2 linked regions of the Struthio camelus genome follow. The protein of the gene in region 1 purifies or fractionates together with the protein of each later gene. This does not show direct contact. Links are inferred from orthologs where the notes say so. Each region holds a gene or a part of one and is shown on either strand. Other genes may lie near its edges.

Region 1 (15,656 bases):
ATAAAGTTTTCTAAATAGGTAAGCTGGAAAGACGTGTTTAACTCACATAATAATGAAATAAAATGCTGACTTTTTATATAACATATGAAAAACCTTGATGTGACTAACAAAAGGAAAGGTGGGTAAGTCATATTTCCTTTATTTAAAAACAGTTTAGAAGAGATTCTGAGCTCAAGCTGATAAATAGAGAGCAGACCAACCAGATCAAGGTTTGGGGATCAAGGACAGCACGCAACATATTTGTAAATGGGCTTTACATAATTTATTGAAATTAGCATAAAGTTACAGCTTTACAACTCTGTAAGTCTTGAGTTACGCATCATCTGTAACAGAGACACCTGTTTAAATCTTAATATATGCAAAATGTCACTTGTTACCCTCAGGTAAAAAAAAAGAAGTCCTTCCACTACAATTAAGAAGCAATTCTTGTCTTCTCACCTGCACTAATTTATGCTTATTACCTAAACAAAGAAACACTTAATTTAAATGTAACGGAAGTCTCATTTTTGTGAATTGTCATTTTTTTGATACTGCAACAAGTTGAATGAAAATGAAGCAACTGAATAATGGGTTCTTAAAACTACACTCCTGCAGAGTTAGAGAGAGACTTAGCAAGACTCGTCAGCAGCCTAATTAGGTCATGCCATGCCAGGAAAGTTATGCTCATAAATAAGCATAAGGTTGGGCCCTAACTTTGGCTTTTGAAGAGGCTTTAGAGAAAGAGAGCAACCAAAATACATGTCCAGAGGTTTGCCAATCAATCTGTTTTAAGGATGTAAAATTATATTTTCCTGTGGAGGGAAACTGTTTGTAATCATTTTGATAGTTAACAATGTGCACCTTTGAAAGGAAGAAGATTGTCTCTGTTTTGTTATTATCACTTTTGACTTGAGTGATTAACTAAAGTTTGGAACTGTTTGCTTTAGGAAAAAAGTTAATCATGGAGTCAGATATCCTTGAAATAACTCTATGTATCTACAAAGAATGCTCAAATTCCTATTCTGTGAATTCAGCTGTAAGAACAGGACAGAGAATATCTTCTTCTAATTTGATTTTTAACTTGCTTGGTTATTTTTCCCTGCCTCACAGCTCAAAGCCTCTTTCTGCCAGTACTGAGCCCAAAGGTCTCCTTTAATTTCTGCCTCATGTGTCTTCCTGTTAAAGGAAACAGGATGTTACATATCTTCCTTGTAGGGTAGCATGACTGCAGTAAAAATACTTGACTGACGTGAGTTTCTCTTCTTTTAATGGAAACACGCAGGGAAAAGCCTATATCTTGGCTAAGTTTAAGGGCAGTGAGAAAATATTAGGTTAACCTCCTATTAAGGTTTGGTTTGTGTTTATCTTATGGTTAACTTTTGGAAAAGCAAATATTGGTCCCACTACTCCTTTAACTGCCTCTTTTAAAAAAAAAAACAAAAAACATTTGTTTAAAAGGATAAACTGAAAACAATTAAAAGCAGCTACTGCATTTGTGCCTTGGTCCATTTGATAACTTTTGAGACATATGTATACATATACTTAAATATATAAGTACTTCTAAGTCAATGGGAACTGTAATTGTGTGTCTATGGAAGATTTTTGTTTTCAAACAAGAAGCAATGCCATTAACAGATGTAGATGGTTTTCTTATTCCAGTGAAGTCACTTATTACAAACATCTTTAAGAGTGGTGTCTAAAGCCTATAGAAAGTTTGCTGGAGCAGAATTCTATTAAAAAAGTAAAAAACATTAAAGTTCTCCCTGTATAATTTGTTATGAGGGCTGGAGACCAACATCCAGTTTAAACTGCAAGGAGACTGGGGTTTGGTCCCTGTACCATTTTCAGTGCTGTCTTTACTAGAACAAAATCCTCCAGAACAATCCACAGTTTTCACAGCTGATAATAAGATTTAGACAAAATAACCTGTGTGGAATAGCTACAACTGGGAGAAGTCCTATGATAGAAGGAGAACATTTTTTCGATGTGCGGCACAGGGAGGTCTTCTAATTGCCAGATCTCGCAAGCATGCAGCAAAACTAGTTTGTCTAATGCAGTAAGAAAATTACTGTGGTGCTTGCTCCTGAAAGGTCTGTCCTTGCTCTTGTGCAGTCTTTCCATTAATATCAAAAGCATCTGTTTAAAGAAGATAATCTTACAGAAGTGAAATATATATACCATTTCATTTTAAAATGAAAAATGATGTACACTTGATAGACCAACATACATCTTTTATACATGTGCAGGACAGTAAGTCTCTCAAGATAACTTGCTCAGCCACACTCCTAATGTAGTAGTCAGGTACTGATTTAGGGTTTTGTCAACATGCTTCTCTTGTGAGTTAAGGAGATAAAGGTTTTAAGCCATCTAGTTACTATATATTAAAAAAAAAAAAATTAAAGTATCTTAAGGGTCAAACTTCTGTTATTTTCTTTGGATGACTTGAGCTGAGATCCTTTAGTGATTATTCTGACAGAAATATTAAATGATAATCATAGATAATTGCTATTGAACTATATTTTAAGTAAAATTACTCTATTGGAGATTTGTTAAATAGTTTGTTTTGCTGTTAATTTTACTAGTTCAATTTAAAGACGTGCTGAATTGGCAGGTTAGATAATTAGTTGTATGAAAAGTAAGTTTAAAGAAAAGAGATTTATTCTCTCACCTTTAGCAATAAGTCACCTTTAGATAACTTTATCTAAGAGTTATCTAAAAGCTATTTTGGGGTGAAAACTTAGAATAAAAGGATAGTCAAGGATTTTTCTACAATAAGTGACAAACATTGTTATTAATAAAATAACTCGGAATGTTTGAACTAGAATTTGAGGCGTTTAATGCTTTATTTGAAACATGCAAACCTGTACACAATGCATACTTAGTGCACGCTTGCCCTTTGAAAAAGTAGCACATTTTGTGAGAGATCATTTATTCTGGCAAAATTCCTCATTTAAGCCACTCTCCAATTAGTCTTTTAGGCAGAAGTCATTTAGGTAGGAGGCATTTTTAAGTGTGGCTACTGTAAACGACAAGAGGCTCTGTAAGCAGCATGGGGAAGCTAGCCGGCTGTTCAGCTCGTGTGCGGGACTGGACAGTTCGGAAATGTGAGATGAGTCTCATCTTCAGCGTAAACAACTCATCTGGCTGGCTGATAATTAGACTTGCTCGTCCAGCTACTGGCAGCACAGTGTCCAGTGTCAGCTGAGGGTTAACAAATTGTGTAGGAGGAAAACAATGTATTTTTTTTTAAAAAATTGTCTTTCAACAGTCTGTGAATAATAAAGGAGTTAACAATACCTACGTCCCTGAAGCACTTTGGGAACTGTAAATTAAGGTTTATATAAGAGTGTAAATATTATCACTTATTTAAAACCTCTCACATTTCCCTCCACTTCTCTTCTTCCTCTTCCCCATTACTTGTTTATTGGGATGATGCTATTTGCATTCATTAATATGTGTCCAAAGTGGGAGGCCACTGGCGGATGTGGAATAGAAGATTGGCTGAGGGAGTGAACAGGAGCAGGGAGGAAACAAGGGGGTGCAGTAAGGGGAGAGACTATTAAAAAAGTAAGAGAAGGTTAGCAAGAGGGGAAGAATATTGGGTTTCTTTTGTGATTACAGATTTCTTATCCTAAAGAATTAGCAATATCTTTGTTTTGGGGTTGTTGTTTTTTTAATGGGTGTTTCTTAAATCTTTTGAATATTCAAGATAAACAATGAAAGTTTAGAGCCATCATGATAAAAAAAAAGTTTCAAAATTGTATCTGGACTTCAGTTTTCAAGGTGGTTGATAAAATTCATGTTTTTTGGGATTCTGACTAAAAGCAAATTCAGATTAGTGCTGGTGCTATTTTTCCTGTGCCACATTTTAGTCTATGTCTTTCTGTCTGTTGTTGTTGCTGGCTTCCCCAAGAGTGGGATGGGAATATTTGGCGTCTCACCATGGGCCTGGGCAGATTTCTTGCCGCTGCTCTCAGCCCATGTGCCCCGCTATGCGGCGTGGAGTTTGAAGGACCGGTCCCGTATGTATTGATGAACTCTGAGATGGGTTCTGATATATGTTAGTAGCAAAACACAGAATGAATAGGAAGTTGAAATAAAATATTCCAAGAAGAGTAGAAACAATTGTCATTTGTGTCTTGGATGGAAAAAATAGCTATTTGGGAGGATGTGAACAAAAAACCTCACTGATTGTTACATCTCAAGGATGTATTTGTGGGGGGTTCTTTATAAGAAGGGCCACAATAATGTAATTACTGACAGAAACATTTGAGGTCATGTTTATAATGAGAATAAACTGGCTCTATAGTGAAGGGACTGCTCAATTATTAGAAAACAGAACAGTACCACTTTCCTTTCAAACACATCTGCCTGTCTGATGTTGTTGGCCTCGTTATTCCTTCTTCATAAATACTGTTTTTCTTGTTTCGAAATACTTTTGCTTCTCATCTATGAAACCCCTTCCTGTAGTTTTTCTCTTCATGACTCCTTCCCCTCATGTCTTGTTTTACCTTCCTCTTCCTGGCATTGACTCTGTTGAATACTACCTCTTTATGACTTTTTTTCATTACTCAGCTCTGGAAGTATGTATGTTAACTACAATAACTCCACTAATTGATTTGCATATCTTTTATGTGAGAGAGAATGAAATGCATAGAGGATTATAATAGAGTGCTTTGTGATAGGATTCAGGTTCTTTATCCATTAATTTTGTGTTTTCCTACTGCTGTCAAAGCAGTCCGAGGAGTTATTATTTCTGAGTGCAGTAGAAACCCTGGGCAAAAGAAAAAAGTGTTCTGAGGATGCATCACAGTCATAGCCACCTGAAGTGGAGGGGTACAGGGTAGCTAAAAGCAGACAATTTCCTTGTAGGCGTTGAAGCTTCAAAGACAAATTTACACTTCTTAATGGAAAATAAATGGATTAATCAGCTACAAAGTTGTGTCATTTACATTCTATTCTGAAATCAGTGTCCTATATAGTGCCAGGGACAGAGTCTGCTACAAATATTGATTCCCTACTACGTGCCCTGATCTGTATCAATGTGGAATTTAATATTTACCAAATATATCTGATTGGGTTTTTTCAGTAGTAAACTGTATTGTTAAAATGTTTTAATGTAGAATACTTTTCAGATGACAGCAAAAACTAGGGCCTAAACTCTTCCAGGTAATTGAACAATGGAAGATGTTCTTAGCTGATTAGAGGTAAGTCTTTAACCAAATTACTGTTCTAGCTGTAATTCACACTGAAATCAGCACTGATCACTTTCTTTTATGATCAGTGCTTTGTGGTGTCACATATATAGAAGAAGAAAAGGCTAATTTAAACCACATAGATGCAGTTCACAGATGCAGACAACTAGGTTTCGGTCAAGGTTTATAAACAAGTTAAAATGGGCAATGTAATTTCCAAATACAGGCTCTTCACTAGAGCCCTGTGGTTGTATTTTGGAGTTTCAGCACCTTGAGAACAGAGTAAGCGGTTAGCTGTGCATTCCTTGGATTTGGGGAACATTGAAAATTCAATTGAACTGTAAGGGAAATAATTTCTCTCCTGATCTGAGCTGAGCATCTTGCTAATGCATGCTGTCTTTTGAAGCTGAATTTATTGAAACAACAAACTTATGTGAATATAGCTGTTAGTGGATATATATCTCAGGCTGATCTCGTACCTTTGTAGAATAGATGGCCACTTCTATTTTTTGCTTTTGATTATTTTGATTTTGACTGTGTATGAGATACCTTTGATTTAGTATCATGGGGTGTGGTTCTTAGAGATGAATGGGGTTGACACTTTCACAGCAAGTCTGCCAATAGTGTGGGCAAGCTGTTTAAAGGAGCTGGTAGCATTTTGTAGCACAGAGGTCTGTTATGCAGACGTGTTTCTTGTCTGTGCTATAACTTCTTGCGGCATGTAGCAGCGACTGGACAGAGTTCACCTCACAGAATTTACACATGCCAGGAATTTTTTCTCACTCTGGTAGAGACATTTTCTGTGGCTGCATCTCCTGCTAAATCCTAGACTGTCTCAAATGGGTTTTAGGCAGGTATAGATTGAGTCTAGGTAGCTTCAGAGTAATCCAGCAATTTTGTGATGGGAAATCATGACCCTTGAAATTTACTTGCTTATTTTGTCTTATTAAATGTTCCCTATCCAGGGAATGGGGCGGGGGCAACACTGGGTTATTCTTCCTTAGTAGCACCATCTTTTGAATCTTTTCCTATTCCTAAGGAACGAAAAGCCAGCACTCTGAACTGCAGCTCTGCTTGCCTCGCTGTCTTGCGGAGAGCTTCAGCCTCGTCTGCTCCGATCCTGAGCAAGGGCTGCCTCCATCCCTCATGGCCGGGGAATGAGCGTTTCAGGCTGCTCGTAGAGGCTCTCCCGAATGACTCCGCAGGAGGGCTGCCCCAGCCTGCCCAGCACAGACCCTGGATCGCCTGCCTCTGCGTAAGTGACTGCTTTCTCTTTCCTAAAGGTTGTTTTGGAGGAACAGGATAGTTCTGGCTGGGGATTGTTCCCTTCCTAAAACATTAATATGGTCAGTGCATAGGCATGTGCTCACCAAATGAATGAAGTGTATTGGAATAAAAATACTGTGTAAGCCGTCGTGGCATACTAGCTGAACTGCAACTGTGTACTTAGACCATGCACATCCCACAGCCTCCTCACCGTCGGAGCTGGATTTCACAAACAGTGACTCAGAAGAGGATGTACCACAGCTCAGAGAAATGCAAGGAGTCCCAGGTAAAAGCTTCATTTGATTTCCTACAGGTAGGGTGTCGATTCAAACTGGTAATTTTATATGTAATGTAAAAGTACACTTTTGTTAAGAAAACACCGTGTAAACCACCATGGTGGTCTTAGGGTCCATTTTCTGTCACTTCTTTCCACTTCAGACAGTTCTCAGCTTCACACAGGAAAAGATTTGATTCCCTTTCAGTAGCCAGCCCTCTGCAAACTGCAGCTGGGAACAGTGAGTCAGGTCTGATGCTTTTGTCCTTACGTTCCACCGTCGCCCATAATAAGGCTAATAACTGGCGTTTGGTTATACACCAGTAGCTCCGCTGTAGTCAAAGGCCGGGTCCAGCGACTCCGTCGCCACGCAGTGGTTCTGCGAATGGGCTTGCAGAGGCTTCACCGCGCGCAGTTTAGCAAACCCTGCCGCTGCTGATGCACGTGCAGAATAAGTTCTGACTCTCAGCTCCTGGGGCCAAGTGTCTCTGCGGGCAGGAAGGTGCAAAAAGCTACAATTTTCTTTTTCTCACTAAGTTCCTTAGTCATGAACTCGCTGGGAGATATGTCCGCATGCACGCAGGCGAAGCAGATCTGCTGATCTAGCTGCTGTTTTACAGCTCATTTTCTAAGTATAAACTGCATGTTGAAACAGTAAAAGTTCAAAGAGAATAAAGCTACAGTGCCTACTGCAGTCTCCCACATGCCCCATTAAGCTCATCGGTAGAACAGTCAGCAATGCTAATGACTATGGATTTACTGAATAACATATCTATTTATTGGATAGTCCTCTTCCTTGCTGGAATTCTGAATGCAATTACCAAAGGTGCTCTTATGTCTTTAAATCTCATTTAGGAGGAGAACCACAGCCAAAATGCTAATGAGCTCTCCTTAATTGTAAACACTGAGCACTGATAAGAATGAAACTCCATCCTCTGTTCTCAGAGAAGTTCTTACCTGTTTCCTATTTACACCGCTTTTTATCTGATTCTCCCTCACTTCTCTTCTTAGGCAGATTAATAGACACCTGAACAGAGAAATAACAGTATTACATCTTCCTCATATCCTTTTGACAGACTTCTGAGATTGCAAAATGTTTTTTGAATCTTATTTTTGGAGAAAGGATTATTGAATGATCAGGCGAACTGCAATTTTTTAGGCTGGAACAAACCATTCTATAGCATTCACATGAACACGTTAATAACTCTTATTTAATGCTGATGGGACATTTCCTAGAGTGTGATAAGTGTGAAACAGCCCATAGTTTTATCACTCTTGGTTGCTGCCCACTCCTGCTAAAAAAAGGTTGATTGTGATCATTAAGTTGCAGGTAGGCAGTGCCTCTGGACTGTAAAATAGGAATGTTAGTGTGCGGTGATGAAAGCAAACTTTGCTCAACACCTGTCTATATATATTGCAGGTTTCAGTGGCTGCCCAGCTGATCCGTTCTCTTTATTGCCTGGCAAGAAAGAAGTGGTAAGTAAAAGCAACTAAGACAAAGTTTGTTTCTTTGTTTGCCTGGTTTTTTTTTTTTTAACTTGATTAGGTTATAAATCAAGAGCTCGGCTTTTGCAGCTTTAGAAGTGGCAGCAGAGAGAGCTAGCGTAGGGAGCTGGAGTGGCATGTGAAATGTCATCCAGTTGTCAGCATTTTCAGCTTGTGTTCTTTCAGCTGCATTGATATTTTAAGGATTTTATAAAAAACATACTGCACTAGTTTTTTCTTTTTTCTTTTTATTTTAACAAAGACTACATATACAAAAACGAGATTGCAATAGCTAGATTTATTTTTATAGCAAACTCCGGAGGAAATAAACATAGTAGTAGCCAAAGAGAAATAAAATAACTGCCTATAACATGAGAAAGTATTGTTTTAACAATTGTTTGGATTAGAAAGCAGCGAGATTTTTAAGTTATAGCATTCAGTGGTATTGGATACTGGAAAATGTCTAGGATATGATTAATGAAACATTATTGGAAGGAAATACTGTCAGTTCATGTGTTAGCACAGATAGTATGTAATGTCTATGTGCAGCACTATTGCAGTGTCAGGCTATTCTTGATGGAAACATTTTCTTATGCTAATTCAGTTTGATACACTGCGGTAAAAGGAATACATTAGTCTGATGTTGTTAGCTCAACTAATGTGACAGTAGACAGGAATCGACTGGTATCTCAGTAACTTCTATTAGCAGCTCTTCCATTAGATCAGTAAGTCTTTTTAATGTCATTACTTTTTCCTCTCTAGGTTCTTTACTATATGTTTCATGTTAGGGATGGGGTAGATGTCTGATTTCTTATATTTCTTTGTTGGTGGGAACTTTTTGGCTTTCTTCTAAAAATTGTAATTCTTATTTTATTTAAATACCTACTAGACGTTTCAAGTAGTTTATTGACATAGTTTTGGTTCTGGCTCTTAAGAGGCAGTGCCTGGTGCTTTGCTTATTTGTGAACGCAAGAATTAACGTTTGGAATTTGTTTTCTATATGCACTAGCTTAGAAATGTGTTTTCTTATTAGTTTGTTTTATCTATGTTTTTAGTTTTGCCATGTGTTAGATTCAGGCTTGTGAGAAAGAAGTCTCAGGGATCAGAAGGAATAAACAGTGAGTACAATGCTTATTTGTTTAGCTTTCACCCAGCTATTTTGTCCTTTAGTGCAACATTAGTTGGAAGTTTACATCCTGGCTAAGCATGCTAACCTATTCAGAGAAGGAGCCCCAAGGAAGTGGCTGGTGCCAGAGCAAAGACAAGACTTGCTCCTGGCAAGGCTGAATCATTGCTGGCATTTACTTAACTTGCTAGCTTGTACCCAGGCTGCACCTGGGGCTTTGTGGCTGCAATGAAACAGGTTCTTGGGCAAAATTATCAACTGAGGTAAAGAAACTAAATTAATTTGTGCTGGCTAAGAATCTCTTCCTTCTTATCTCTGCATAGTTTGCTTCTATTTTTGAAATGATGCATTTTGAGGAAAAAAATCAATATTTCTTCAAAGTGTGTATCAGAAGGATTGCTATGTAGCTATGTATTTACTCCTATAAAGTAAGTATGATAAATATTCGTATTTACCAGTTTGTACAGTTAGATATCAAATGAAATAGATAAAAGAGAGAAATCTCTTTTTAACCTAAAATCTATAGCACAGTGCTGAGTGACCAGAAAGAGATGCGTATGTGTAGAAACTCTGCAAGAGAGGGGTGAGAGAGACAGAGAGAGAGAGAGAAGTCTGGCTGAAACCGAAACTTGATTCAGAACTGCTTGAGCAACCTGGAAAAAAAATCCAGGTGCGTGTATGGTCACGCTGCTGTTTGTTGCAGTTGTTGCCAGTTGTATTTGAAAATACTCCTATTTTCTCCAGAAACTTCATTTCATCTCGATTTCCCTTTGTCTGTTCCCCTAGAAGTTAGATTTCTTTAAGGCTTGCTGCTTCATACTGCATATTTCCAGCACAGCTTGCCCTTTCAGTGAGCTGTCACGGGTGGAGAGGTACAAACAATACCATGCAGACACATGCAAATGGTGGCTTATATTCTCTGTGTTAACTCCAGCAAAATTAATAGATTTACAGTTGTTTCTGATATAAAATTGAAAAGCACTGGCGGTCTAGCCCTACAACAGAGAAAATGTTGTAGCAGTTCAGTGAGTCACTCGGGAACACAGTACAGGATAACTGGATGACACCTAGTGTTGCTCAGATAATACACCAGCGAGTTTAACTCTGAAGAAGAATGTTGCAGTGAGAGAATGACTATGGCTATAAAAATCATGGGAGCCCACTTGGTCTTCAACATTATATCTCACATTTTATTCCATAGCTTGAATTCCGTTTATTTCTGTTTATCTCCCTCTTAGGAGCAGGAGGCTTCAGTTTCTTTTCTAGTTAGAAAGGGTGTCACAGGTAGTTAGCATTTTCCGAAGGAGAGGAAAGACAATACTTACAACGAAAGGAGCACATGGTGCGAGACGGTGCGAGAGACTTTGCTGCGAGAGTCGTTGAAACAGGCTGGATTACAGTTTGCACAGGCGTTAGCTTTCAGACCTTTGCAATATGCAGAGAGTATTTTGACCTGCCGCTAGCAGAAGGAAGTAGCTCCCATTTCAGCACATGTCTAAACAGGTGGATACTCAAAGTGCCAATGATTATCCAGACTCCAGCTACCCAACTACGCCCTGAATGGCTCCCCGCCAGCTAACGCGAGCGCGGGAAGTGCAGCGTAGAGACACCCAAGCTGGCATGGGAATGGGCAAGGCTCATCGCTCTGGGTACCTCATCTAGCAGTTGTGGCTGTGCCCTGTTTGGACCCAGACCGGTGCGTCCCGCTGAAACCAGCTCCTCGTTGCAGTGTAGGTAGTCACCAGCCCATCCTGCGCTCGTTCTCTAACATCTTCCTTCTCAGTGTAGTAATGTCCGCCCTGCTCAGAAGTAAACCACTGCTAGGGCTGTGGTCTTAATTCCCTTTTCTCTTGCCTTTTGCATAGTCTTGTGTAAGACTTACACTTACATCTTGTGTAAAGCGATGTTGGTCTTTTATACTGCGTCTGACATTAGCCTTTGTCATTAGTTAGCTTTGTCATCCCCCCCGTACTGCTCCGCTGCAGCACCCTAATTTTCTTCTGAATATTTTTATCAAGATATCAATGTCTGTCTTTGGGGCAAGAAAAAATTCTCTGAGGGAAAACTGCAGAATGTAGATTATCTTTGTAGCATGGAGATTAATTAACAGTAAGTAGCTGAGGCCAGGACTCTTACCAATCAGAGTATCAGGTGGCTGTAAATTATCTCCTCAGCTGTTTCGTTTAACAAGAGTTGGGATCTGAAGAAAGTTGACAGTTTTGGTAGTGCTTCAAGGATCTACGTAATTCTATTTTTATCAGTCCTTGATACCAATCAGACAGACTTGTAATACCACCGCAAGCCCATATACACAAGGCAAATGTGGTTAGGACCTCTGGTATTCAAGTCTATCTTGCCAAAATAGAGGTTGATTAGGACTCATAGGCATAGTTTTATATATGTACTTATAAAGAACATCTTCCTTCCTTCACAGAGGTGCTCAGTTCTCATTCTCGCGTATTTAATCACGTAAAGCAAAAACAATAATAATATATGACGTACCTGTGGGATCCTGAGCACCTCAGGAACATGAGAGATGCTTATTATGAAAGTATGCATTGCTAAATTCTTGAATGAGGAGGTTTATTTTGGAGAAAAAGAGGTAGTTCTTCTGCTGAAGTTTTCAAGCTCTGGTTTTTCTAGCAAATGTGTCACTTCAGTTTCCTTTCTGTAATCATGGAGGCTGACTCCTTTGTTTCCACACTGAATATAAATGTAACAAAAGAGCTGTTAAAGTAGCTTTTGGCATCTCTCAGGCTGGTATTGTTCAGTATATTCTATGTCTCGCCATGGAGTATGGCATATGCTGCCAATGCAACTTCACATCTGAATTTCCAGTGCATTTTCATGGTTGCCTTTCACTTAAGCACTTATGCTGAGCAGTTGTTTTTATACGGAGCTCTTTAACTGCTGAACATATGTAAATGCAACTTGTTTAACAAGACTGCGGTGTTCTGGTACGGGTGGGGCTTGGAAGTTTTTTGGGCACATATGAAAATGTAAGAATTTACTCAAAGCAAATGGAAAACCTTGTTGAAACAGGTAAGGGTGATTTTTTTCTGTCTGTTTTGAGATCTTCCTCTGCAAACCTTAGGAGTCGCTATGGATCTTAAGCCACTGGTAATGAGTGTGTAAAAGCATAGTTTTTGCTAATGGGATTCCAGAATAATTTTTCATACTCGTGTAGAAAGGGAGAAATCCTTTTCTCAGTGGAGGAGCATAAATCAAACCGCGCTTTGTTACAGTAAGACATACGTGTTTGTCTGTGACATTTTCTCCCTGCTAAAGTTGAATGCAGGAGTAGGACGAGCGGCTGTTGATGTGGGCAGGGACAAAACATTTTCAACATCACATAAAGGATCATGATTAGATGAATGATTAATTGCACTTCCTTACAATGGCTGCTAAACATAGTTGAACCTTGTTTACAGGAGCATGATACCCACTCTAACTCTGACTCTTGAAGGCTGGACACAAATTTTCTCACCATTGGTTCAGCCCCTTCCTCTGCCTCCCAACACTGGTGAAGTAAATATTATAGTTCTTCCAGGTTTTGGTTCAAGAAGTAGCTACCTCCTCAGCTTGTGCCTGGGCTAGATTTGTTATGTGTGCTTTCACTTAGGCTAGCAGGATTTGGCCATATGATTTATAATTTTTACATTATTATTGAATAACATCACAATGCATGTAGTGCCGAACCTGCCAAACGTGCTCAAAAAGCTTCAGGAACGAAGAGGTTCAGGCAGAGGAACCTACTCTGAATGGATGAGCCAGAAGTTTCCCACTGGTGCTGCTGCTATTCCGGCTTCACTTACAGCATTGATTATGGGAGTTTTAGACAGAATAGCAAATGGCCACTGCCTTTTTAATCACACTCTTGTCAAGCTGTTCAGCATGGATCCAGGCAATAGGCACTTGAAATTCTGGGGGCTTCCTTCAACTTGTTGAGGGTCACATTCCCCTTTATGTTAGCGTGCAAATGAACCAGTAAAGGCAACAAGAAGATTATTGTTAGCGTGCATGGCCCAGACAGGCAAGACTTTAGGAGATAATTTTCTAACTTTCTTTGCTAGGGTCTGTATGTTGAATTACTAATTTGGTACAAGAGGGCAGTTAAAACCAGAAGATGGAAAAAGTAAAACAGTCCTCTGATTTTTGCTGAAAGGAGATGAAATTAATTAATGAAGTACTTAAGGTTCAGAAAGCAGTGGAATCTTTTGCTGTCATTACAGTTAAAATTAAACAAAAATACATGCATGAGACACAAATAATTTCTAAAAATTGTGTAAATTGTACAATTAAACTAACTGTGTGCTTCCATAAATAATAGAGATGACAATTTCACAAATAAGGGAATAATTCCTAAAGAATAATAAAAAAAGCTGTGTTCAAGGACACATTGTTTCTACTGCTTTTCCATCTCTTTTTCTCTTAGAGGCAATCAAATTGCTCACATACCTTGTTGTGAGCTGAATATTTTGACTGCACACACATTTTAATAAGCGCTACTTTGTTAGTCACAGATCATGGCTCCTTGGCCTGAGGTAGAAAAGCCTGAAACCAATAACTATATTGGGGATTCTTCCAAACAAAACCAGAACGTGCCTGGAAAAGAAGGAGAAAACCACAAAGGTAATGTGTGCTTACCTGTGAGTTACAGGGATCTATAAGTTTGGGGCTTCTTGGGAAAGATTGAAGATAATTAAGTCATTTTTCGTGTGTTCTATTTCATCAGGCAATGTAGCGTCACTTGGAAATAAAGGGGAAATTCAACCTGCATTTTCCACAATAGCCTTGATAGATGAGACAAGACCAGAAGATGACCCATGGGCTCTGCCAGAACTGCAGGACACTGGGGTCAAGTGGTCAGGTAGCCATTTCTCAGTATACAAGTTACTTTCTTTTTCCATCACTTCCATTCTCTTTGTCTCAATTATTTTTCTGAAGTGACAGTTTCTGGAGAACTGAATTTAAGATTTGAGCACTTGGATTTTCAGATGTAGGTTTTACATTCTCTGGGTTAGTTTCCCCGCTGGTAAAATAGTATATTTACTCAGCTCTGGAAATCATGCTGCTTACTGACCTTAAAGCATGGGGAAATATACGGAAAACAATCCAAAAGTAATATGAACTTATTTTCAGGCTCCTATTAGTCCTTCTTTACCGACTTAGGGTAGATGTATAAAACCAAGGGTCAAGCTCTGATTTCATAAAGCCTTTGTATTATATCAAAAGCTTTTGAATATAATGATTCATTAGTTAAAATTTGATTAAGACCATTCTTTTGTGTTTAGTCACACTAGGGTCACAACACTGTCCTTGACTCCATAGTCTCTGTTTGAGTGCTAAACTATTCCAAAAACAACACTGGATACTTCAAACACATTTTTATGTATAACTTATTTGTTTTGCAGAACTGGATAGAAAAGGGAAAATCATTCGTATATTGTACGGGATAGGGAAGTTTATTATCTTGCTTGGATTGCTCTACTTGTTCGTGTGTTCCCTGGATGTGCTGAGCTCTGCTTTTCAACTGGTAGGAGGTATGAAAATACTTCTAAAATATCAAGAATAAGCTATGAATGAGACAGTAAATCTCATCTGAGTGACCAGATTAGAAGCATCCGCCTTCAAGAACATACTTAATAGATTTATACAGAATCAGAAGGAAGCATTTCTCATTGAAGTCTGACCTTTCTTTGTTTGAAAGGGACCTTTATTTCTCAAATTCCAAAGTGCTGTTGACATTATGGATTATTGGCCTGGACTTCTTAGGAAGTTCCTGATACTTTAGAGACAGTTCACACAAATCCACCTGGGCATAATCTGTCTCATGTGAAAATCATTTCAGCAAGAAGAAATATGAAAATTGCTTCCTTGATCAAAGCGTTCAGCACTGAAATGCCTCAAAAAACCTTTGAAAATGAAAACTACTGACATATATTTTTTACATTTACCTATCTCCAAGAGTGAAACTCTGCTCATGGATTCAGAGGAGGCGATTAGAGAAATATGTGGGCTTCTGTGTAGTTACTCTGGATTTTTAGCAACACAAAAAACTACAGAAACAGAAGTGGGCACTGAATTACTCAGTATTATTAAAATAGCTTTTGGTAGTAACCAAAAACATTAAGGCAATAATAGCATTTAAGTCTGTGTGTGTTTTTTTATTCTATAGTCTTTCCTCTGATGGAGGTGGTTTTATATAGCTCTCTGCAGAGCTCACTAGAGCTTTTTCGGTTACTGAAATGAAAGAATATAAAGTATTCTCTGATATCTGAGAAGCTGAGAGTTCAGGACCTGAATTTGGATCCCTGAGCCACCTCACCTT
Region 2 (15,656 bases), on another chromosome or scaffold:
AGAGACTCTCTGGCACTGACACCTTGCCGTTAACTTGGATGTTGGAAGGAATAGCACCTGCAAGGAGATACAGATGATCCTTCTCGGAACAGTGAGGGACTAGAGCTTGCTCCACTACCCTCCTGATGTCTCTGTGCCAGCTTTTGCTGAGAGACGGGCTCAGAGGAACGGCGTTTGTAAGGGTGTAAGTGGCCATCTGGAAATCTTTCTCATTAAGCAAGCTGGGATTCAGCAGCCCTCTCTCATAACCAGAGCCCACATAGTCTGAGGTCAGGGCCTGATTTGCACCAAGGTTAGCAACAGAGCCATCAATATCAGCTTCATGCACCATCTCTTGTAGCTCATTTTCTGGATCATCAATCTGAAAGAGTAGAGAGAAGAGTTATTGGATGCATTTTACCTTCTTAGAAAGCAATGTGCAAAATAGATCGTAAAGTGCATTTTCCATCATGACTGCTATGACACACTGTTCCTCAGAACACATGCTGCACTCCTTCCTTATTTTCTTTTCAGTATTTCAGAGGTGCATATGCTGTACTTAGCTGTTCTGACAAGCACATAGGTGTAGGGCAGGGATGCTTACAGTTTTCCATTTTGGTCTACAGCACAACACAGCCTTCAGAATTTCACCAGCCATCCTGTACTAAGCCCCTAACTTGTGCCTGTTGTAAAAAATATTTTTAAGAACAATAGATGACCACCTTGAAGATGGTGGTACCTCCAGCTCAACTAAAGCACCTATTGTGGCACTTTAAAATATGAATGAGCAATTCAATTCCTCTTAACTGTCAAATCCAATCCATTCATTGTGCAAGAAGCCAGAACCAAGTAGGGCAACATGGCAGTGACCTAAATTGTCCTTCACAGTCTCGAACATAGGCACTGCAGTGAGCTCACAGGGCTCTCCTAAGACTTGTCATTTACAATCTGAACCTCACCCTCAAAGACCACATACCTCCCAGGGGCAACATGGGTAGGGACACTGTCACCGTGAGTCCTTGGTGGAATCTGTGCTATGTGCCTGTTTGTCATTCTTTTGCCATGGAGTTGTAGGTAGTAATTGCTGGATCAGGCACTCCTTCCAGAGCCTTAGAAGGTCGTGCACCAGGAGGTAATAAGCAGTGGGAGCAAGAGCTCTTAAACACCATGGTACGCTCAGGTCTTTCTCAGAAGGCTGCAGCTTTGTCTTTCTCTTAGTCACTCCTTTTTGACACTGTCTCCAGCCTTTCCACAGGGGTGTACCGCATTGTAATTTTCTTCCCCAGATTAAAGGTTATATACGCATTGGTAGAAGCTCAGGGGTGCAGCCAGTCTCTGGTAGTCACTGCCTCATGTGGTGTCTGCTTAAGATGCCATGGCGCTGAAGTCCCAATGCTGTGCTGGCCCAATTAAATCTGCTGTCTTTGCTCCTGGCCTAGAGACTGTTTACTGCACTCTATAACACATATTTTGGAAATGGATATGGCAGATAGATAGTTCATATCCTGCTTTGAATCACTCTGTGCTCATCCCTCCTAGTCCCTTGGCTCCCCTGTAATGTATTTGAACAGATGGTTCCCACCATTTATGTCCCTGAGATCTTTCATAGGGTTTGCACCCTTTTGGTACCCCAGCTTCCTGCATTATGTCTTGATAGCTGTGATGTCTACACCAGCTTCTGCTAAGAAACAGTGTGAAAGGGACAGTGCTAGTGAGCGTATGTAGCTATCCATCATCCTCATTGTGGGAACTGAGGTTTGACTGGCCTCTTGCATCACCCAAGCCCCTGAAGCCTAGACTTAGGAGTCTCTCTGCACAAAGGCTGGTCGCAGTGCCAGCAATATTAGCCATTTCAGCAGACCACATTACCCCCATTCGCCTGCTAGCTTTCTAGCATTTTGTTTTGAAGCATCTGATGCTTATTGCTACTGGGCTAAAACGAACACAGGCCTGACCCAGGTTAGTGACTCTACGTGCTGATGCACAAATCTTAGTTTTTCTAAACGCATCACTTACGAAAGACTTTTGCCTTATTTTGCACCCTCTTCCTCATGCTCCCTAGCTGCTCCCTGTGAACTACAGCTGTCTAACAAGGCCAGATTTGTTGAGCTGCACTCCATAAAATTACAGCCCCTTCCTTGGCCTCCTCTGTTTTCCCTGTTTTGATGAGAGGACAGTGTTGTGTTATGGGATGAGGGATGCAGCTGGTGTGTTTACTCACACAGTATATATGAGGGGGGAGCTGACACAGGTGCTAGGCCGTGCCTGTGAACTGCCTCTTGTACCATCACCCCTTTAAGTGAAATGTCATTTCAGGGGCACTCATCCACACTTGTTCCCATTGCAGATCTATGCTGCAGCCTCTTTCCTGCCTCAGAGTCCTGCAGCCTTCTTGATAAATTAAAGAAAATGATGGAGGGAGACTGAGATGCTGTATCACAAAAGATGCAGATCTGAGACTAGTCAGCTCTGCCTTATTGCAGATTCCCAGCCTACATTAAGCTTATAGTATAAACTTAAATTTCTCTGATTATGAGCTAGCACATGCAAACTTGAAGATGCCTATTAAGTAAATATGTCTCCAGTTACCTGTTCAGCTGCAGGATTTTACACATACCATTGGGATTGCTCAGGTGCAATTAAAAAAACAGGAAAAGCGTGGCCGTGTGCTGTTCCTATGTCAGAAAACAAGAGTAGGCTGTGACATCACTAAGGGCTGATGCTTTATAATAACTCACATTATGCTTTGCAATAACTCATGTTATTGAGCTTTTCATGCCTCCTCTGACAGAGCCCCAAGGGCAAGCTGTCTCCAGCACTGTATCTGCATGCAAGCTGCCTTTCCTCACTGGCTCAAAAAGCTTTTGGTTTGTGGCACAGGCAAAGCATATCTCTAGTCATGGAGTTAGCCATGAATCCATCTGTCCAAAGAATTTGTAAGGACAAGAGTCAAGTACACGTGTAAACACCTTACTCTTGGGTGGATTTAAAAATAAATTACATATCTAAATACTTGCATGGTTCTGCGTTCAACCACCTAACACTATTATATGGGTTTATCCTTGCAATACACAAAGTGAGGGTTACCACTTTATAGAAGGGGCAGAAGGGGATTAAAGGCGTATTTCCATTGCAGGCAAGAGCTTGACTGAAGAATTGAGGTAGGCATATAGCTGCTATGCCAACTAGTTGCAGTCAAGTTTCTTCATTTAAAAAACTGGACACTATTACCTCCCACCTTCCCTACTTTAGTACTTAAGATGGAGATATTTCATCTAGCCTTAGTGTGGGATTCATTTCCCAGGGATTAGGTACAATGCATCTCACGCTAAGGTTTCTGTTGTAGGAAGTACACAAGTCGCTTCAGAAGTACCTGTTTCTCCTGGCTGACGACTACCAAGAGAGATGAGAAGAGCAGCTCAGATGCAAACCTCTTTGGTGGAAAAGGTCTATAGCTGGGTGACGTAATGCCCACCTCGGTCATCTAGCTGATGGTAGTCAGTAAGTAAATTAAAGGACAAGGAGACTCATCCAGCTTATTGTATTTTAGAAAAGAAAAAGCAACGCCAGAGTTCTCCCTCCCTCTCTCTAAAAGACACAGAGAGAGATAGACAAAAATACAGTTTTTAAATGACTGAAATTAGACAAGGTGAAACTCGCCTAAGTAACTTGCTCTCGACCCCTGAAGAAATCTGTGGCAGAGCAGGTTTTCAAAACCAAGCCTAGGGCATTGCACCAGTATCCTGCTCATCAGACTGCCCTTCTTGCTCTCTAATTTTTCACAGTCTTGGTTGCTGAATTAATTCACAGTTTCCAGCTGCCAATCAGCAGTGGGTGGTGCTGACATTCCTCTTGTTTCCCATCCAATTACTGCCTCTGTGCTACGTTTGGCATTTGTTTCCCAGACGCACATTCCTGAGGAGGTAGGCACGCAAGGAGTGAGACGCTGCCCTCACAACTTACACCATGATCTATTACAAAAGAACATGTGACAACTCTTAGTCACTCATCAGACTGCACAGAGCATTTTTATAGTGATTTCTTTCTGCTTGGTGCATCTCTGCATGTGTGTGTGCATGCCCATGTACACAAACACGTTACTATGCAGTTATGCCTGTTTGTACCTGGCTATCCCTGTCTCAGTTAGGAAGTTTCTCAGCAAATAGCCAGTGTATCCATTTCTGGGTTATGTTGCAGAGCAGGTGTTGCAAAGTGTTCCTTTTGGTTACCATCTGAGCTTTTTTTGACTACCCGACCTAGCCTTAATAAGAACAAGTAGAATAGGGGTGAAATCTGTTCTCTGCTGTCTCCCTTCCAGATACTGTATAGCGGATGTCTGAGAGTTGTGTATGTGCTTATTTCTTGAGAGACTTCCAGGAATTTTTTAGTCCTGATTTCTTCCTCTTATAGATTCCTCTGCCAACTTGCTTCCAGTTTTCTTCCTTGGACTGAGGCTCCTCCACTGAACTACACAGCTGCTTTCTTTCACCACAGAGGTACCTGTATTTCAGGAAAGAGTGAAGGAGACTCCTGCACATACTGTAGCTGACAAAACGAAAAGTCCAGCATGGTCACGTCATTGAGTACGTGTGAGCTGGAAGGCCAAATCAGCTGCATAGAAAACTCGTATCCTCGCATTGCCTGGCTTTGGGGACTCCTCTCACTCCTGCTCTCTGCATATAAGGTATCACAGATCAGCCCAGATAGGAGTCTCCACTGCTCACCCAAGGCATGGTTCTCCTGAGCGAGAAAGAAAACGGAGTGGCCTGTGGCCACTTGACAGCCTTGCTCCTGCCTTCGTCCCATCTCTATACTCTAGTAGGTGGGTCTATGGCCAACGGCCAGGCCATAAGAATTTGAGCATGCAATTAGCTGTGGGCAAATTCCCTGAGTAAATGCTTTTAGTCAAAATAAGAACGGCTTCCAACCTCCAGGACCATACTGGGGAATTTAGTGTAATCAGGATGGAGATGATCTTTGCTCGGCCCTCCTTGTTTCCCTAGTGATGCCACCTGACGTGATACAGGTGCTTGCAGTGTTATGGCTCAGTAAAGATGCCCCCCCATCCCCAGCGCAGCTTTCTCTAAGCTGGCCGTACTGGGATCTTTCCTTGTGGCCAAAGGCTAAGTCTTGCTTAGGAAGCATTTCCACAGGTAAAGCATTTTTGCCCAAAGCTCTCTGGTCCTGAGGGAAGCTCAGTATCTTGTCTATCTTAATCACGTGTGTGGATGTGGTGTATCCTTTCAAATAAGAACAATATTGTCACTTAAAGGATGTTTTTGAGTTGAAAAAGAACAAAACAAGCAAGCAAGAGTGAGAAGGAGGTAAAATAATTCAGGGGATTTGTCTTGTTTAGTACTGGGAGGAGTAGCTTGCTCCTTGGAAGAAAAATCCTCAAAACTCTCAGTTTATTTCATACTATCACTGATCTGTAGGGACTAAGTCAGACCCTAGTGTAACAGGGAACAGATTCACAGCTACCCCTGGGGCTACACTAGTGCAAAGTCAGAGCAACTAAGGGTAGAGCCTAGCAATAATTTTGGGGGCTCAGATATATTTCTGAAGCAGGAAATGTAAGAGGTGTGGCTCAGGTGTTAGCAGGTGCTAGGGGGGCCAATCACCAGGTCAGCGAAGAAGTGGCAAGGGACAGAGTGAACTGGATGCAGAGAAGTGTTGGAGACCTGCACAGGGAACCTGCTGTGAAGGGACTTTGAGGAGTCCAAAGAGCAGAAAAGGCATTTGGGCCTGCACAGCTGCTGCAGCAGCTCTGGTGAGTCAGACTGCAAGGGCAGGAGGAGCTATGGTGCCTAGAGGTGACAATGGCGGTCAGTGGCCAAGGCAAATGGGAAAGGATCTCATCTCTGCCACTTTGCTTTGCTGCCTCCACAGCACAGACAGCAGATGTTTACTCGTCTAGGTCTTCTCCGTGCTTTAAAAATTCATCACACTTCCTTATCTCCATAATGGCAGAGTGTGCAAAAACCCTTCCCTCTGTTTAAAGAGAGCAAGCAGACACCTCCTACGGGCATCTGCGGAGTGGAAGAAAAGAAGTTCAAAAGGCTCCCAGGAACTCCTGCAATTAAAAACCCAGCACTGAGAGCAGGGAGATGGTCCAAGGTCAAAATCAGGGTTTCAGAACCCTGCCTTCACTTCCTGCCACCTTGTGGGAAGTGTTTAATGCCTTAATATCTCAGCATCCTAGAAGGAAAATGAACAGCAGCCACCCTTTTGGGACAAGGATGAGCTTTGATTCTGGGTATGTACAGCACCTAGCACACGAGGGCCCTGCTGGCAACATGCTACTCGAATACCACGACTGCTTCTGGTCCTTACAGAGCACCCTCAGAAACTGCCAGTCTTTCTTGAGCTGAACAGACAAGGTGAGCTTGGTGTTTGCTACAATACTGCCCATGCTCACTGCTGAAATAACTGCAATATTGCAAAAAAAGTCAAGTAAAGTGTGCTCGTTCTCTTAAGGCACAAGCAATTGTTTAAGGGTTAAAATACTTAAATATAAATATTTAAATATAAATATATTTAAATATAACAGCCTGAAGGACCTGGTTAAACATGTCAAGTGTCAAGGGAGGCAAAAACCACTGAGGCTGTAGTGATATTCTCTTTATACTGCCCACTTCTGACTCAATTGAAACATTTCTGCTCCAGGACACTGTAATCCACTTCTCTATCCAGTATCTGCAACAGAGGAACACAACAAAAAGCTGCTGTGTCAACTTGGTGAGCCACAAATGCATGTTTTATTCCTGTCCAGTGAAGCTAAAGAGCCCTTATCAACACTAGGATCATGCTGGCAACCGAGCAGCCTTCAGCCTGACACTGAAATGTTTAACCCTATTATCCACCAGCAGTGCTCCCTAATTGAGGTAGCTAGCTAAACGAGACAAACAGATCCTACCGGGTAAAAGACGATTTTCTTTTCCCCTCACATTCCACAGCCCATGCAGCAGCCTCTTATTTTTCAGTACAAGCTCCGTGGGATAAGGAACTATTTGTTCACTTCCAAGCACCAGAATAAGCTGGCTGCAGTAAATTCATATCAAAAGAGGTTCCACAAGCTCTTGACTCCTTTGCAAGATCCCATCCCCAGCTAATATCTTCACCTCAGAGGAAATGTTCTCAAGGAACATCTGCTTTACAGTGAAGGAAAGGTTGACTTACCTGCGGTTCAACCAGCCACTCCTCCTCTTCATTTTGCGCTGGTTTTGTATACTTAAAAGCTGAATAAAGAGGGATTTTGTCCTTAGTACTGTAGAGTGTTGCAAATCGTGGCTCTTTGTTGTACTGCTGACAGATTTTCACATGGAACGGCTCGGTAAATCCTTCTGGTGGGACTTGTCCAGAGAAGAACACATTACATTCAGCAAAACCACTTTCATCCTCTCCAACAACTCTGCCCTGGGAAAAGCCTGGGAAAACTGAGAGGCAAAGCAGAAATAAAATTGACGTCTTCATGGTCCACTCCCTTGAGCTGAGGGAAGCCCTATCTGTCTGCTGGATTCGGCAAAAGACCTGTGCTCTGAGCCCATGCAGCAGTAAAGCCAGCAAGCGTCTGGAATTCGGGTGTAGTGTACAAGGGAAATGAAATATGAAACCACAGCCGTTCCCTTCAGGGAGCGAGCGCTTTCTGCAGGCAGCACATTGTGAAACCAAATGTGCGCAAGGCTGCGCTGACACACGCTGCAGACACCAACTGCCCCAGGGAGATAATGCCAAGCAATCTGAAATCATCGGGGCTAATTTGGAAGAGGAGGTGGGAACTCCATAGCAGTGCAGGTCTATAGCTGAACAGCATCAACCCCTCCAGGCTTGAGCCCAGCGCTGGCAGGGGTGTGGTGTGCTGCATTGCAGCAAAGTCCCCAGGAGGAATTTTGGCTGACACAGCCAGAAGTCTTCCCAGGGCTGCCAGGGGGATGCTGCAAAGTCAGATCCACCACCCAGAAGAAGATTAGCTGCCCTCTCCAGCCACAAGCCTGGCCAAGAGAGAGGGAGAAAGAGGGAGAGAGAGGTGGCAGGATATTGCCACTGCTGAGAGTCCACTTTGCCCCTTTTTTAGGGTATCTATTACCACCATTCCTGCCAGCCACATGCTGCAAAGGAGCCTGGGGAAAGCATTCTCCTCCCATCTCTCTTGGAGCTGTGCAAGGCATCCAAAATCCTCCTGTAGAGCAGTATCACCTCACCTTGGCAGAACCACCCTCAGAAGATACTAATAAGAGGCAGAAAGACACAGACCCTCCAAAAAAATCTACCTAAAGGGAATGAAACCACTCCTCTTCGGTTATGCTCAACAGAGGTATTATCTGCCCAGTGAATAGCTGCCTATGACACCTAGGCTACTTCCGGATAAAAGGCTGCTTCAGTGACTGGGAGAATCAATGTTTTCAGAACAGTGGGGTCGGGGAGGAGGAGACTACAGAGCTCTTCCTCAGAGACAAGAAAACATGCAATTTCCCATCCAGGAAGTTAGATATGATCAGATGTACTGCCAACAACTTCCTCCCCACCACCTTAAAAAATCCTAGGTGCCAATAACGTGCAGGTCTCTTTCAGACAATGCTGTTTTATACTGTTACCCTGATTTCCAAGGAAGAACCTCTAAGTGCTACAAACCCACAAGCGCTCCGCAAACTAGTGAAGGAGTAGCCTATACTGCAAATGAAGAAACAGGACAGGACAGAGGGCAGTTCAAATGACTGCCCACAGTCAGAGAAGGGGCCTGTAAAAGAGCTAAAAAAAGATTGAACTCTACGCAGAGATGACTTCTAGAAGTAGCAACGCAAGGAAATACGTCAGCACCTTTTAATGTGATGTTATCAGCTGGGGGAGACAGAGGCAGGCTGGACAGGCTAGCGAACAACAGGAAATGTAGTAAGTGGGCTTGTTTTGTTTCCAGGCAGACGCCTGGTCACCCAGCCCTGACAGAAAGAGTTAGTCATATTCAGGAAAGATGATGGAAATGAGAATGCAGACACAGCCTGACCTGAACACAGCAGCTCCAAAAGACAGGCTCAAACTGTCATTTTCCTGGATGTAAAAAGGCTCCTGGGAAACGAAGAACTGAAGTTAAACCTGAGCAACTAGATGCTGATCTGATCCCAGCCTTGCAACTGTCCGGGAAGTCCAGAAAATGTCTTCCTGAGTGTTGTAAGCCCTGCTCCCAAGGAGAACCCAGATCTGGCAATGATTTCAAATAGCTGCTTCAAGAGTGAAATGCATTATCCCAGGTTAGGCATGGTACCAAGGAAAAGGTAGCATGGCATGAGGTGTCTCAAGATGGGTATGGCATGCAACCAGCATGCAATGTCTGCAACCAGGAAACATTGACGTCTTGCCTCTTTCTTAAACTTACGCATCAACTAGCAAGTGGGCAGCCCTCGAGCCAGTCTCAAGCGGCCTCAGCCTCTCATTTCCCAGGAAAGCTGGCATGGAGCCACAATCTTTTGCTCCCCACTCCCATTTTCTCTAAGCTAAGCCCCTCTCCAAGTGAAAACTCAGGGCTTGGGTGGCCAGTTTCTATTTAACTTACGATAGCTGTTGTGACCCTCAAGCATGGAACTGTAGTATTTACTTCTCTTCCTGCTATCGTCATTACTACTAAAAAGAGCGAGTGCTGTCATCATGGTATGGGACTCTCTGCCCTGCACAGATAAAGGCCAAAGGACTGCCTTGCCCCGGGAAGATTACACTGTCAGCCAAGCGCTTGCAGACATGCTGCCAGAGGAGCCAAACAACAGAGAGAGGAAGCACATCAGTGGGAGTGTTTCAGAAAACTTAATGCTGCCATGCCTTATCTGCTATTAGATACCTTTACGGGCATCAAAGAAAAAGGGACTACTAAGATCAGATACGAGCGCGGCCTGAAACAGCCTTAAGGCTGTTTGCGTGAGACAAGCAGAAGGGCACCGGCTAAGCATATGCGGTGTGAGACGGCACCTGGCAGTGCAGCATCGCTGGGCCCCGGGGGCTGCCTCCTCCACACTCACTGAGGCCGGCAGAGTGCCACAAACCCGAGGGTGCTGGCAGTGAAGATGACTACCTGATGTACGATGTAACCAAACAGAAGAAGCCCATGGAGGATGTGAAGAGGCAGGTGATGTGGTCAAAGGGACAAGCGAGAAAAGTGACCTCTCAGTAGCAGAAAGGAGATTAGGGCAAAAATTGGAGCTGAGAGAGATCTGCATTCCTTAAAAATGGGGAGTAGTAAAGAAAGGTTAAGAAGGAAAATGAATAAGGATAGGTGTGAGGAAACACAGAAGACAGAATGTAATGGGTCAAGTGAAGAGACGAGAGAGAGAACTGAGCAGAGGTCTTTGCTTCTGTAATGAGAAAATGAGAAAAATATGAGGAGGAGGAGGGGGAAAGGAGGATGAAAGGAGGTTGTCATTGATCTAATGACGATGGCCAGTTCTCTTCTTTCCCAAGGGTCTCAGGTACCAAAATGAATGTCTCAAAAGACAAGAACACTTCCCTAAAAGTTTGTGCGAAATGAACCTGAAAAGTACGTCAGTATTCGAACCCTGCAGCAAAAAGAAGCTGCCGGGCTTGCTTGCCTACTTTCCCACACTGTGCCTCCAGCCCTGTCCTTCAGTTCACATGGCTGACACTGGATTTGCTGCAAATAGTTTCTTCCTCCCCACATGCCCAACCCCTCTAATCCAGTCTATTCAGAGCATACTTGACCCCAAATATTTTTCCAAGCCTGACCTCCTGTCTCCTGTCATGACCTCTGGGCAGGACTGTGGTACTGCTCCATTCTTCTGAGAAGAAAGGGAAGAAGAAAGAGATCCCAAGCATGAGCGCTCCCACTGGAGCAACATCGTTTAATTTACTGGAGACCCCGCTGCTGAAGATTTGGCTTGGAGCACGATAGACCCAGTGCACATGCCACTGCATGTCAGAGAGCACATCTCCTGCCTCTTCGTTGTCTCATAGGGAAAGAATCTCTTTAAAATTAGCTTAAAAACTCAGTCTGTGAAAAGAGCCCAGTGCTGAGCTAGGGAGAAAAGGAGGAGTGAAAAGATTTTTATGCTCAAACTAAGAGATTTGGGGCAGGAGGCGTACATCTTCATGCCTTCCCTATACCACCTCTCTTCCTGAGAGGAATGCCTCACGGCCAGTGGAGTTGCTTCACTGCCCACCTTCAAACCCCCTTTGCCATGGTGCTTACAAAAGAGGTGGGCAAGGAGCAGCCACCAATCACCTAGACATTAGTGCCAGTGATGCTGGTCTGGTTTTATTGTTTCCATAGACTCACCCTGCTTCTTGCACATACTGACCGCAGCAGCCAGGGGATACCTTTCAGTGTCGTCACAGCTGAAATCAGAATACAAAAAGGCAGGGAGGATTAAGAACAGATGGTGACATAAAATGATGAGGGTTGTCACCTGTGGTGCCCAGTCATAGCAAGAGGGTGAAGATGGGGAACGGTGAAGCATTCGCACCACTCTCTGAACTATAACATCTTTAGGACAGCGATCAGTTTTTCTGGGCTTGTACAGAAGCTTGCACAGTGGGAACCTAATCCTGACATGGGCCTTGTAGACCAGGAAGTGCAAATGTATTGTATAAATACTGAATAATTAATAAAACCCAGCGGCTACATTCTTTGGCACTTTATCACAGCCTTAAGACTCAGAATATTTCTGCTAAACTTCAGACTGTTAGGAATAAGCATAACAAAGATCTTGTGTTTGACAGCAGAACTTGATAGATTTATACTAGCAGAACAAGGCAACATTTTTAATAATGCAATAATTAACTATTGGAATGAGTTATTTAGGGATGCGCTGAAAACTCCAACACTTTCATTCATTAATTCAAGATTTAAAGAGATGATGCTTTTTAACTGAAGTTATTGACTGCAATAAAAGAACAGATAGTTCAAATTTAAAGGTCTTTGTTTTACGGATCATCAGTTTATCATAGCCATAATAGATTCTTCACACTTTATATCTGTTTTGAATAGGAAAGCCAGTCACTTGTGTGCTTTTCTCCTAGGTGTTATTGCTTACTATTCGTTTTTATTTGTTTGTTAATTTTTTATTTTTCAAAAGTCCTGAGAGGTTCGGTCAATGCTGAGACCTTGCTGCACTAGGTACTGTGTAAAACCAAGATGTGAGAAAGTTCCTTACAGTCTACATTGACAGAAGACTAAAGGGTGGGAACAAAATTAGAAGTACAGACTTGTTAGGATTACATCAGCTCAAAGGAGGCAATGTGAAAGCCATAACTCCTGAGAAAGCTAAACCTGCTGGCAAGGCCCACAAGCTTTCATCAACAGGCACGATAGCAACCACTCCCAGGACTGCCTGCCTCCAGTAACGCAGCTGAATTTTGGAACTAAGGAGTGGGAGGAGGAATGAGATATTCTGGATTAAGGGTTTGGCTGGGCCAGTGGGGAGCCCTATCGAATAGACAAGGTATAGTTACAGCTGCCCCACAGCTCTCATGCACTCTGTGAGGCCAGGCAGCACATCACCTACCTTCACAGAGCTACAGGGGAGATGCCTACACTGAACCTCATTATTCTTCATAACCTAAGAAGAGAAAAAGGCACTTCTTTTAGGCTATAAAGAGTATGATTTGTGTCATCCTTGATGACTACATGAGGAAGAGATGACATCCTCAGGAAGTGCCTGCATTTCCACACTGGCTATAGAGTGAGCCTAAGAGGTCTACAGTTGCTCAAATACATCTTGGTCAGGCTCTGGCATATTCCTGCAATCACAGGAGTGATTTTACAGTGCTCTTGTAAAATCTAACGTGTTGGCTATTCTAGGAAAGAGTGAGTAGGTCTTTCTCCACGCTCCTTTCAGGCCTTGGCCTTCCTCCTGAAATACATGTTGAGACTCTTGCTGGGCATATGTGCAATACCATATTTTTCACATAGGCTGCTATTGCGTTACTTCTGGCCACTACTGCCCGGGGAGAGATCTGAATGTGAAAAACACAACAGAGAACATGGACTATCACCAATGCTATGACCCCTTCACTGCCTTGTGTATGTAACACTGCTTCTGCTGTTAGAGTTTACAGAATTGCTTCTGTACACTACAGTCAGGACACATCACTACATTTAAAAAGTAAGAGAAGGCTTTTAGTAATAGTAGCTGACCAAAGGATAGAAAGAAATACTGGCCTTATAATATTGCTTTAAATAAATGGGTGGCAGGTTGGAATCTCAGATTGAGATCGCAAGCGCAAAGCTCTTAAGTCTCTGAAGAGCAGAGTTGGGAGACTTCTGATTTTGCAAACAGTTTAAAAGAAGAAAAGAAACTGACTTTGCAGGGTTTACTCAGAACACCTCTTCTGGGATCTGCTGTGTAACTGTTACCAATTACTTACACTGTCCGATTTGACTTTCTTGGGAGGTGGCAAGATGGTACTTGTTTGTGGCTCTGCAACAGTTGTCATATCACAATTGCTGAGGAGGTATCCCATCCCTGATCTTGTGGTTCATCAGGCAATATTTACAGTACATTTAAGTGCACTTTACAGCACCTTCAGTGTTGTGAAGTGTCTTGTTTAGACCTTCTCCCACTCAGTAAAATTAAGGATTTCAGGGTAGGTACCATGGCTCCCTAGACAATGCAGCAGAAGAATCAGGTATTGAAAGAACAGAATTCTTCAAAATCAGCACCTTAAGCTGGGACCCTCTTAAGACAAACAATAACAAATGACAAAATATGAGGTTTTAGGCACTGCTCCCCAAAGAGCATTAAAAGCCTACCTATGTTTAAGATTTGTAGCCATGAATCTTCTCTTGGATGCATGCACCCAACCCAAACTAAATTTGTTCTCTCTCTCTTAATCTTAGCATTAGCTCCTAAGAGACTGAGATTCTAGTCCTTCCTCTGTCTAATACGCACAATCTTACGGTTTGGGGTCACCCGTCTCACTCCCATAAGAGTGCTCCAGTTGCTGTTCTGCTGCCCCGAAACTCTTGCAAATTTCTCCTCAATTGTACTTTGCATAAACAATGACCTGTTCATGAAATCAGAGAGTAAAACACAGGACCCTTCAGTCCTGTAGTTAAAGCACTAGAGCAAGAGCATCAGCAGGTCAGTCTTGCTTTCATGAGGCTGCACTCATAGGTGTAATAGCTGATCCTGGTCGCCGCCTCGCTCACCAGCTGGGACATGTGCCTAGGAACAAGCCCTGTCAAGAAGTTTTGAACTTGGCCTCCAACATCTCTTCTGGGTGTTTTAACTCAGAGCTGCAGCATATGAGGCAGACTTCCCCATATTTTTTATCTCAAGCATGCCTTTGAGTACACCCAGCTGATGAGGTCACAAGAATAACCCTAAATTATTGAATTCTGCTCAGAAAAGTCCTGTCAGATCTGAGATGGTTCTGTTCAGAGTCAACAGCAAACATTCAGGATCCAAGAGAATTTAGGAACTTCCAACTTTTGACTTCTGGGATTCGAGTCCTTGTGAAACCAGTCCATCCCGCTGGCTTTCCTCTGAACCTAGAATCCATTCATTGACCTTTCTTTTCAAAGATGAACTCTGTTCAGAGAACAGCAAAGTGTCAGAAGTACTTATAGCCACTTTGAGCGGCAGTCTGTGCCTGAAGCCATGACATGGTGCACTCCATATCCGGTATGCAGCACCTAAACAAACAGAAATTACCTGCAGAGTGTCTGGTGTCACATATTGCCATGTCAGAGCAAAGCAATCGCAGTAATATTCTCACCATGAACCCCGAGTCCTATTTTTCCCCCAGTGCAATGCAGTGCATTACAACTCCACACATTTAGAGCTGAACGCGTTTCCCAAAGCCTGATGTAGATTGCTTTGAGGCCTAGCAGAGACTGTAGAGTTTATAGCTGGTAAAGATCGCCATCAGGAGTAGGCAGGCTCAAGAGAAATAACATAACGAAAACTGGAAGCGGGGAAGAGATGTGAGTAGTCAAGGATGTGCATTCATTGCGCTCCAACCATTCCTGTCCAAGCCCTGTCCCCAATGGGCACCAGCTCCACCCATGCCACGTCTGCACTGTTCATAAACAGCTGTGCAGTGGTAGGATTTGCCACCGCTCATGAGCAGCAGCTTGTCCAGGACCAAGACCCCTTCCCTCTATTTCTACTTCAAATTTGTATCTGTGAAGATGGCGAGACAAAGTTACTAATGGCAAACTAATGCAGTAATGGATAGGAGAGAGGAGGTCAAACTACTTAATTTTCATGGTTTTGTATGCGACCGGCATGAGTTACAGAATCACAGAATCACAGAATCGTTTAGGTTGGAAGGGACCTCTGGAGATCATCTAGTCCAACCTCCCTGCTCAAGCAGGGTCCTCTAGAGCATATTGCCCAGGATCACATCCAGACGGGTTGCAAGGACAAATGTGAGATGTGGCTGCTTGTGTTGTGTTCATCACAGGCGACAGGCCAGGAAGAACAGGAAAGGGAGGCAGGAGAATGCAAAGTTCAGTTACAGTTACAAATACTCAGCAGCAATCATACAGAAACAGGCAGAGTCTTGCCAAGACAAGGCAAGTTTACAGACGCATTTGCAGAACACACCTTCCTGCTATGACCTAAGTTTGCAAGTGAGCATGAAACGCCCTGTTCAAAAAGCCTCCAGCTTGTGCAGATAACACTTGTGCTTATGCCCATTTGCAGAGTTCAGCATTCAGCTGAAGGAAGTGA

What was found.
Region 2: the proteins of SLC34A2 (region 1) and ENDOD1 purify together in Homo sapiens (co-immunoprecipitation; 3 studies listed by BioGRID and IntAct, counting the BioPlex papers as one, with this or other methods). This does not show direct contact. The link is inferred for Struthio camelus from reciprocal best matches to the Homo sapiens genes SLC34A2 and ENDOD1.

The regions. Positions count from the first base shown.
Region 1 is NC_090945.1:66,973,868-66,989,523, reverse strand, and holds the start of SLC34A2 (sodium-dependent phosphate transport protein 2B), read left to right. Parts: upstream 1-6,208; 5' UTR 6,209-6,429; intron 6,430-6,547; exon of another isoform or gene 6,548-6,642; 5' UTR 6,643-6,726; intron 6,727-8,134; 5' UTR 8,135-8,190; intron 8,191-8,870; exon of another isoform or gene 8,871-8,924; intron 8,925-9,254; 5' UTR 9,255-9,317; intron 9,318-13,842; 5' UTR 13,843-13,851; coding exon 13,852-13,957; intron 13,958-14,060; coding exon 14,061-14,195; intron 14,196-14,739; coding exon 14,740-14,868; intron 14,869-15,656. UniProt on the Homo sapiens protein: Involved in actively transporting phosphate into cells via Na(+) cotransport.
Region 2 is NC_090942.1:211,861,954-211,877,609, forward strand, and holds the start of ENDOD1 (endonuclease domain-containing 1 protein), read right to left. Parts: upstream 7,823-15,656; 5' UTR 7,729-7,822; coding exon 7,159-7,728; intron 362-7,158; coding exon 1-361. UniProt on the Homo sapiens protein: May act as a DNase and a RNase. Plays a role in the modulation of innate immune signaling through the cGAS-STING pathway by interacting with RNF26.